Linked DNA regions of Drosophila melanogaster. The protein of the gene in region 1 purifies or fractionates together with the protein of each later gene. This does not show direct contact. Each region holds a gene or a part of one and is shown in the gene's direction. Other genes may lie near its edges. The genes, in order: Hsp27 and Rpt5.

The links.
Region 2: the proteins of Hsp27 (region 1) and Rpt5 purify together in Drosophila melanogaster (affinity purification with western blotting, with the first as the bait; one study listed by BioGRID). This does not show direct contact.

The regions. Positions count from the first base shown.
Region 1 is NT_037436.4:9,382,001-9,385,922, forward strand, and holds Hsp27 (heat shock protein 27), read left to right. Parts: upstream 1-2,062; 5' UTR 2,063-2,185; coding exon 2,186-2,827; 3' UTR 2,828-3,694; downstream 3,695-3,922. Other genes in the region: Hsp23 (heat shock protein 23), read left to right, coding at 1-558.
Region 2 is NT_033777.3:23,750,773-23,754,694, forward strand, and holds Rpt5 (regulatory particle triple-A ATPase 5), read left to right. Parts: upstream 1-2,103; 5' UTR 2,104-2,241; coding exon 2,242-2,451; intron 2,452-2,515; coding exon 2,516-2,936; intron 2,937-2,993; coding exon 2,994-3,649; 3' UTR 3,650-3,851; downstream 3,852-3,922. Other genes in the region: RanBP3 (Ran binding protein 3), read right to left, coding at 470-1,803, 1,932-1,947.

The DNA.
Region 1 (3,922 bases):
GCAAATATTCCATTGTTGTTGAGCCTTGCCGACGATTTGGGCCGAATGTCGATGGTGCCCTTCTATGAGCCCTACTACTGCCAGCGCCAGAGGAATCCCTACTTGGCCCTGGTTGGACCGATGGAGCAGCAGCTGCGCCAGCTGGAGAAACAGGTGGGCGCCTCGTCGGGATCGTCGGGAGCCGTGTCGAAAATCGGAAAGGATGGCTTCCAGGTCTGCATGGATGTGTCGCACTTCAAGCCCAGCGAACTGGTGGTCAAAGTGCAGGACAACTCCGTCCTGGTGGAGGGCAACCATGAGGAGCGCGAAGATGACCATGGCTTCATCACTCGTCACTTTGTCCGCCGCTATGCTCTGCCACCCGGTTATGAGGCTGATAAGGTGGCCTCCACCTTGTCCTCCGATGGTGTCCTGACCATCAAGGTGCCCAAGCCACCGGCAATCGAGGATAAGGGCAACGAGCGCATCGTTCAGATCCAGCAGGTGGGACCCGCCCATCTCAATGTGAAGGAGAATCCCAAGGAGGCGGTGGAGCAGGACAATGGCAACGATAAGTAGAGGACTCGTTCCGAGAGATGCCCTGCATTATTTAACCATTATCAAAGTCATACATCTGTTTTATAAGCTGTAGTTATCCAAGGACACTTCACTCATACACAATAGCCATTAAGGGTGTCCTGCTTTAATCTTAGTTTGGAATATGTATTACTAAATTGGCGAAATTAATATTACCCATAAAAATAAATAACAAGTACACTTACTTATAATTGTGTTTGGTCTGTTTTTCTGGTTGGTTATGGGTTACTATTACTATTACTTTGGGAATTGTTTGGCTAGCTTGGCCCTTTTTCCTGTGATCCCGGTTTCTAGAATTTACTTTCTGCATTGTATATTGCATTGTTGTGTCACGTAAAATGGCATTTTTATTTAATTGTTGTTTGTGTACATAACTGACTTTTTACATTACTTCGGTAAAGAGACTTGAAGCTATGAATGTAAGGAACTTCAGTCAAGGTTAAATCCTTATGTAAAGCATGCATAAGTACATCATGTACATACATACGTACATAAGAATATACATCCCTTTTCACTCTCTTCTTTTTAATGAATTTCTGTCATCTCTACAAGAGATGTACGTTATGTACGTCCTTATAGCACGTACCTATGTACATGTATAAATTGAACTTCATTTTTGTATGTTACCGCAAATAATTACGTGCATGCACACATACACATACATATGTATGTATGCATGTAGTTTTGAAAATAATTATGTATTTTGGTTAACTGGTGAACCAAGAATAAAAAGATTCTATATACACATATACATATATATAGAAATGTATGCATATGTACATATAATAATCGAAACACTTGCAACAGACTGGCAATGATTTGCAAAATTTTCAATTGCCCCGTTTCCCACTTCGCGAAGCAGTGGCGAAAGCAACTGCAAAAATGTTTGCAACAAACAAAAGAACGGCAAACATGAGGAGCAGAACGAAGCGAGACAAGGGTTCAATGCACTTGTCCAATGAAAATACAAGCTCTGTTGCACTCTGAAAAGACAGCTTTTAAAAGAGCGATAAGAGAAGAAAATGCTTTAAATAAATACATATATCTGCATATATACGTACATGTACATACATATGTATGTACTGCATTTTAACTGTTCGTTTTGCTTTTTATTCGCAAAGAGAAACTCCCCAGAAAAGAAATGTCAAGAAGTTTCTGGTTCTTTCTCCCTCTCTCTATGAAAAGCCGGCTGTGCTAGAAAGAGCCAGAAGATGCGAGAGAAAACTGTTTGTTGAATTACGGGGCGTATTCAAAGGGGCTTTTAAATGTCGCTTAAATTTTAAGTTTGACAGGCTAATAATTGCTTGCCTATATCTAAATATTATTATATTTGCATTAGGGGATCATAGGGAAAACCTTCTCTGCAGGCAAAATCTAACGAAGATGGCAACCCCCCATCATTTTATTAAAGTTCCGTCCCTGGTTGCCATGCACTAGTGTGTGTGAGCCCAGCGTCAGTATAAAAGCCGGCGTCAACGTCGCCCGAGCACAGTCTAAACTGAAAAATTGAAGGCAAACGTTGAAGCAAACTTCGCTAAAAAAATTCGAAAAAGCAAAAAAAATTCCTTTGTCTAGACAGGGTTGTGAATAAAGAGAAAAAAAATCAAAAATGTCAATTATACCACTGCTGCACTTGGCCCGGGAGTTGGATCATGACTACCGCACCGACTGGGGGCATTTGCTGGAGGATGACTTCGGTTTTGGCGTCCATGCCCACGATCTGTTCCATCCGCGTCGCCTGCTACTGCCCAACACCCTGGGACTGGGTCGTCGTCGTTATTCGCCGTACGAGAGGAGCCATGGCCACCACAATCAAATGTCACGTCGCGCGTCGGGGGGTCCAAACGCTCTGCTGCCCGCCGTGGGCAAAGATGGCTTCCAGGTGTGCATGGATGTGTCGCAGTTCAAGCCCAACGAGCTGACCGTCAAGGTGGTGGACAACACCGTGGTGGTAGAGGGGAAGCACGAGGAGCGCGAGGACGGCCATGGAATGATCCAGCGTCACTTTGTGCGCAAGTATACCCTGCCCAAGGGCTTTGACCCCAACGAGGTAGTGTCCACTGTCTCATCCGACGGTGTGCTGACCCTCAAGGCCCCGCCGCCGCCCAGCAAGGAACAGGCCAAGTCGGAGCGCATTGTCCAGATCCAGCAAACGGGGCCTGCCCATTTGAGCGTCAAGGCACCGGCACCCGAGGCTGGCGATGGAAAAGCCGAAAATGGCAGCGGCGAGAAAATGGAGACTAGCAAGTAAAAGACGAAAAGAGGAAGACTAGGAGATGAAGAAGACGAGAAGAGGAAGAAGACTAGAAGAGGAAGAAGTCGTGAAGGAGGAAGAAGACGACGAGATTCGCTGGCGAAGCACGAGAGAAAGAAGAATTTAAAAGAAGAAACGGGAGTGTTGCCGCGCTGCTCGGAGAGAGCAAGACTAAAAAGGACACACCACAACACACCCAATGTATTACATTCACACACATCACATCATTACATCATCATCATAACATCCTAGACTAAGTGATTTTAAACTCCATTTATCATAATGCATAAAAAAAACAAAATTTTAGTGTGTATTATTAGGCTAAACAACTGGAGGATTCATTGCTCCCTTTGAGTTTATACTTTTTGTAACAAGAACAGGCGCAACACTCGGGAGAATTTTGCATTTCATTTGTGAATAAACGAATACAATAAATACAAATACACGAAAAGAAGTCAGCTGTCGAGTTTTTGTTGGTTTTTTTTCCTTTTTAGCTTCGAATCTGCAAATGTATTTGCATTTAGGGTAAACCGGCTTTTGTTGGGTGTCGTTAACTTTCAAGGGGTCTTATGTACATATTCTGTTTTCCTTGTCCTTGAATTGGACTTGTGGAAAATTAAATGGTCAGCCAATTGCTTAACCTTTGTCGACGATTGTTATGATGATTTGTAATGATTTTGCACAATTCAGAAATCGATATAAAAAAAAATGGGAAATGATTTTTGTTTTTCAATTACATTTTGACAAACGTCATGCAAATATTTCCAGTTCCGCGCACACTGAAAGAAAATCCAAGATAAGAACGACATTTAAATAATTTAATCAATTGTTTGCACATATTTATTTAAATATTTAATACATAATAAAAAATTTAGTTGCCCGTTCTGATTTCATATTGGTTGTTTTATGCTCGTAACTTGTAGCGATCATAAGTATTTACTGTTAATTCTATATCTATATCTAAAACGGCTTTCATTCATATTTCTCAGCTGGGTGTTGAGATACGGATATATCTCAGTTTTCTCGGCTCCGTGGAGCTTTCGCTGTTAACCGCGAAAAAGCTTTTAGTGGTTGTCATGTTGCTGTTGTTGG
Region 2 (3,922 bases), on another chromosome or scaffold:
TCGTCGTAACGCTATTTTTTTCTACCAATACATAACTGAATACTGAGTGATGATCCGCTGGAATCCACACCAGATGCCAGTCAGTGGAGCTATGACCAGGACTAGTGCAAGCGCTGAACTTGTAAAAATTATTTCCTAAGCGAAAAGTAGTACATAGGGTTTGTATAGTGATTAAATTAAAACTTTTAATTAGAGCGTGTACGATCGATATCGATATCTTAATTTCGGTTTTCATTTTTAACAAAAAATTATAAACACAAAGCGTAATGGATAAATGTCTTTTGTCGACGCTGCTCACGGGTTTACAAATCAGCACTTCATTTATTTTATTTTTAATAATAATAATTATTAATAAATTATTATAATTAATTTATAATAATTCACGGCGCGCTTTATTAATTAGTGTTTGTTGTGAGTGTTTTATTTCTCCATGTATGAATCGTATAAAAAGAACAAGAGCGAGCGGCGGTTAATTCTGATCGGTTGACTCCTTGGCCTCGGCCTCAGCATCCTCGTCGCCCTCCTCAACGGGCGGCACAGGGACATCGGCGCTGCTATCGGGCTGGACGATCACCTTCTTGGGACTCGGGCCGTAGCTGTCTGCCTCTGCTGAAATGGCACCAGACGGTCCGGGAGCAGCATCCTCATCCTCGTCGTCGTGAGTCGTCGACTCCGGTTGCAAGCTAGCCGCTGCCTCAGAGGCGACGCCGTTTTTCGCTTCCTCTACGGAACACTCCTCGGGATGTGAGACCTTGCGCTTGGCAATCCGTTCGCTGAGCGCCTTGTGTAGCTGGGCAATGTCCGCCGGTCGGCCCATGGCCAGGAAGATCTTGACAACGCCAGAGTTGTCGATGGCCGTTAGTCGTAGGGACTTTTGGCTGGCTCGCTCCGCCACCATGGCGGCCCAGACTTTGGTGTTGAGAAGCAGGCGCAGATTGCCAGAAGTGCGGAACACCACGCGCGAGTCGCCCCTTAAGTCCTTGGCGTCGTTTAAGCGCAGACTGCCGCGACCACGCTCCTCCCAGTTGCTGTTAAGAAAGGCGAATAGCTTGCAGCTCACGTCGATAATGTTGATCTCGTCCTCCTCGCCGGTGAAGGTCTCGACCTCCTCGTATTTGCGTTTCTGAGCGCGGCTCTCCTCATACTCCCGGGCCACATCCGTCAGGCTCTTGGCCTCGGCGGACTCCTTGTTGTTGCTGCTGCTGCTGCAAATGGATGAGGAGGCAGCGGCCTCGCTGGTCTCTGTGGTCTGGGCAGCGTTCTGAATGACGCTTGAGAAGAGCAATGGCGCCGAGGACGACGTAGCAGCGGTGGAGGAGGAGGCAGCCTCCTGGGCTGATACCGAGCTGGCTGCCGTATCTGCATCCGGCTCAGCGGTGACCTGTTCAGCATTGGGGGCCACCACACGTTCATGCACATTCTGGCCGAAGACGAACCCGCTGGACTGAACATTTGGCATGTTGTTCTTGGCTGCTGCAAACATGCTGGAGCGCTCAATGCCATTGCTACGCAGCTTGGTCAGCGGATCCGGCCGCTCGTCGACATCGTCGTCCTCCTTGTCGCCAGTGGACTCGGCTGCCGCAGATCCGGTGGCCACCACCTCCTCGTCATCGTCGTCGTCCTTGGACTCGCGCAGAAACGGATTATTCAGCAGGGCGCTGTCTTCACCTGCACTTGGGGATGTGGAACTATTGTTGGAGCCGCTGCTGTTTGCCAAGACTGCTGGGCGCAGGACAGCACCGCCCAGGCGAGAAGCCTTCAAGGTGAAGCCACCTCGGAAACAGTTAGTTTCGACTGACGCTTCTGGAAACAAGGGGGAAAAAACAAGACTCGTTTGTCAGTTTGTTGCGAACTCTTCAAGGGCACAAGATTCGCGATATTTGGCAACTTTAAGTTATAGCAAGCATTACAGCTTGTTTTGCTACGCTTACCATTATTTTCAGACATTGCAAACTAGTCTACTTGCAATTTTAAAATATAAATTGCCAAATCTTTTACAGAATAGAGCGTTCTGTGTAAAGCCTGCCGTATTGTTATCGCTGTGTTATCGCTGTCACTATCGATAAGCGCCGGCGATGGCGCTCTGTTGTCAACACTGACTTTTTCAGTGTTGCTTACTTGCCGCTGAAAAACAAGAAATTTACAAGTCATCGACAGAGTGTTTGCCCAAAAAGATCGGCAATAATAGCATTTTAACAAAGAATTACATTCAGCAACGGCTAATCAACAATCGTATTAGACATGGCTCAGACTCTGGAGGATAAGTCAATCTGGGAGGACGGGGAGGAGTCCCTGGGCGAGGAGGTGATGCGTATGTCCACCGATGAAATTGTGAGCAGGACTCGCCTGATGGACAACGAGATCAAGATCATGAAGAGCGAAGTGATACGCATAACGCACGAGATTCAGGCGCAAAATGAGAAGATCAAGGACAACACCGAAAAGATCAAGGTAGGGATGACAATGAAACGCCACCCTGCCAAATAGCCTCATTTGTTAAGTACTTCCCCATTAGGTCAACAAGACACTGCCCTACCTGGTGTCCAATGTAATAGAGCTGCTGGATGTGGATCCACAGGAGGAGGAGGACGACGGCTCCGTCACCGTTCTGGACAACCAGCGAAAGGGCAAGTGCGCCGTCATCAAAACATCCACTCGACAGGCGTATTTCCTGCCCGTCATCGGCCTGGTTGATGCCGAGAAACTGAAGCCAGGTGATCTGGTCGGAGTCAACAAAGACTCCTATTTGATCCTGGAAACCCTGCCGGCAGAGTATGATGCCCGCGTAAAAGCCATGGAAGTGGACGAGCGACCTACAGAGCAGTACTCCGACATTGGAGGTTTGGACAAGCAGATACAGGAGCTCATCGAGGCAGTGGTGCTGCCCATGACGCACAAGGAGAAGTTCAAAAACCTTGGCATTCACCCACCCAAAGGTGGGTATCTCACTCGAACAAATGTCACACAACCATATTAATCCTTGCCATTTACAGGTGTCCTTTTGTACGGCCCCCCTGGAACTGGCAAAACATTGCTGGCCCGTGCCTGCGCCGCTCAGACAAAGTCCACCTTCCTCAAGCTGGCAGGTCCCCAGTTGGTGCAAATGTTCATCGGTGATGGTGCCAAGCTGGTGCGCGATGCCTTCGCCTTGGCCAAGGAGAAGGCGCCTGCCATTATCTTCATTGACGAGTTGGACGCCATTGGCACCAAGCGTTTCGATTCGGAGAAGGCCGGTGACCGTGAGGTCCAGCGAACTATGTTGGAGCTTCTTAATCAGCTCGATGGCTTCAGTTCCACTGCAGATATTAAGGTGATTGCGGCCACCAATCGCGTAGACATTCTGGATCCTGCTCTGCTGCGCTCTGGTCGTCTGGATCGTAAGATCGAGTTCCCACATCCCAACGAGGAAGCCCGTGCCCGTATTATGCAGATTCACTCGCGTAAAATGAACGTTAGCAATGATGTGAATTTCGAGGAATTGTCCCGATCCACGGATGACTTCAACGGCGCCCAGTGCAAAGCCGTCTGTGTGGAAGCTGGTATGATCGCACTGCGTCGCTCCGCCAATTCGGTTACGCACGAAGACTTCATGGACGCCATCATGGAAGTGCAGGCGAAGAAGAAGGCTAATCTTAACTACTACGCTTAGACTAAAAATTTGCAGTTTAACTTCACATTGTCAGCTCCCATTAAAATAAACCATGGAAATGTAAAATTTTTCAGTTTCGATCTGAGTTGCCCCTTGAAGATCGCCTTTAAAATAACATCGCAACGGCTCTTAAAAGTAACTAGAATGGGAGACGTACTGAAATCAATACCCAACCTTTTTAAAATAAACAAAAATATATATCAAATGTCGAGCGATTCATTGGTTTATCAGTACAACATTTACATTCTGAGTACGATATTTTTTAAATATCTA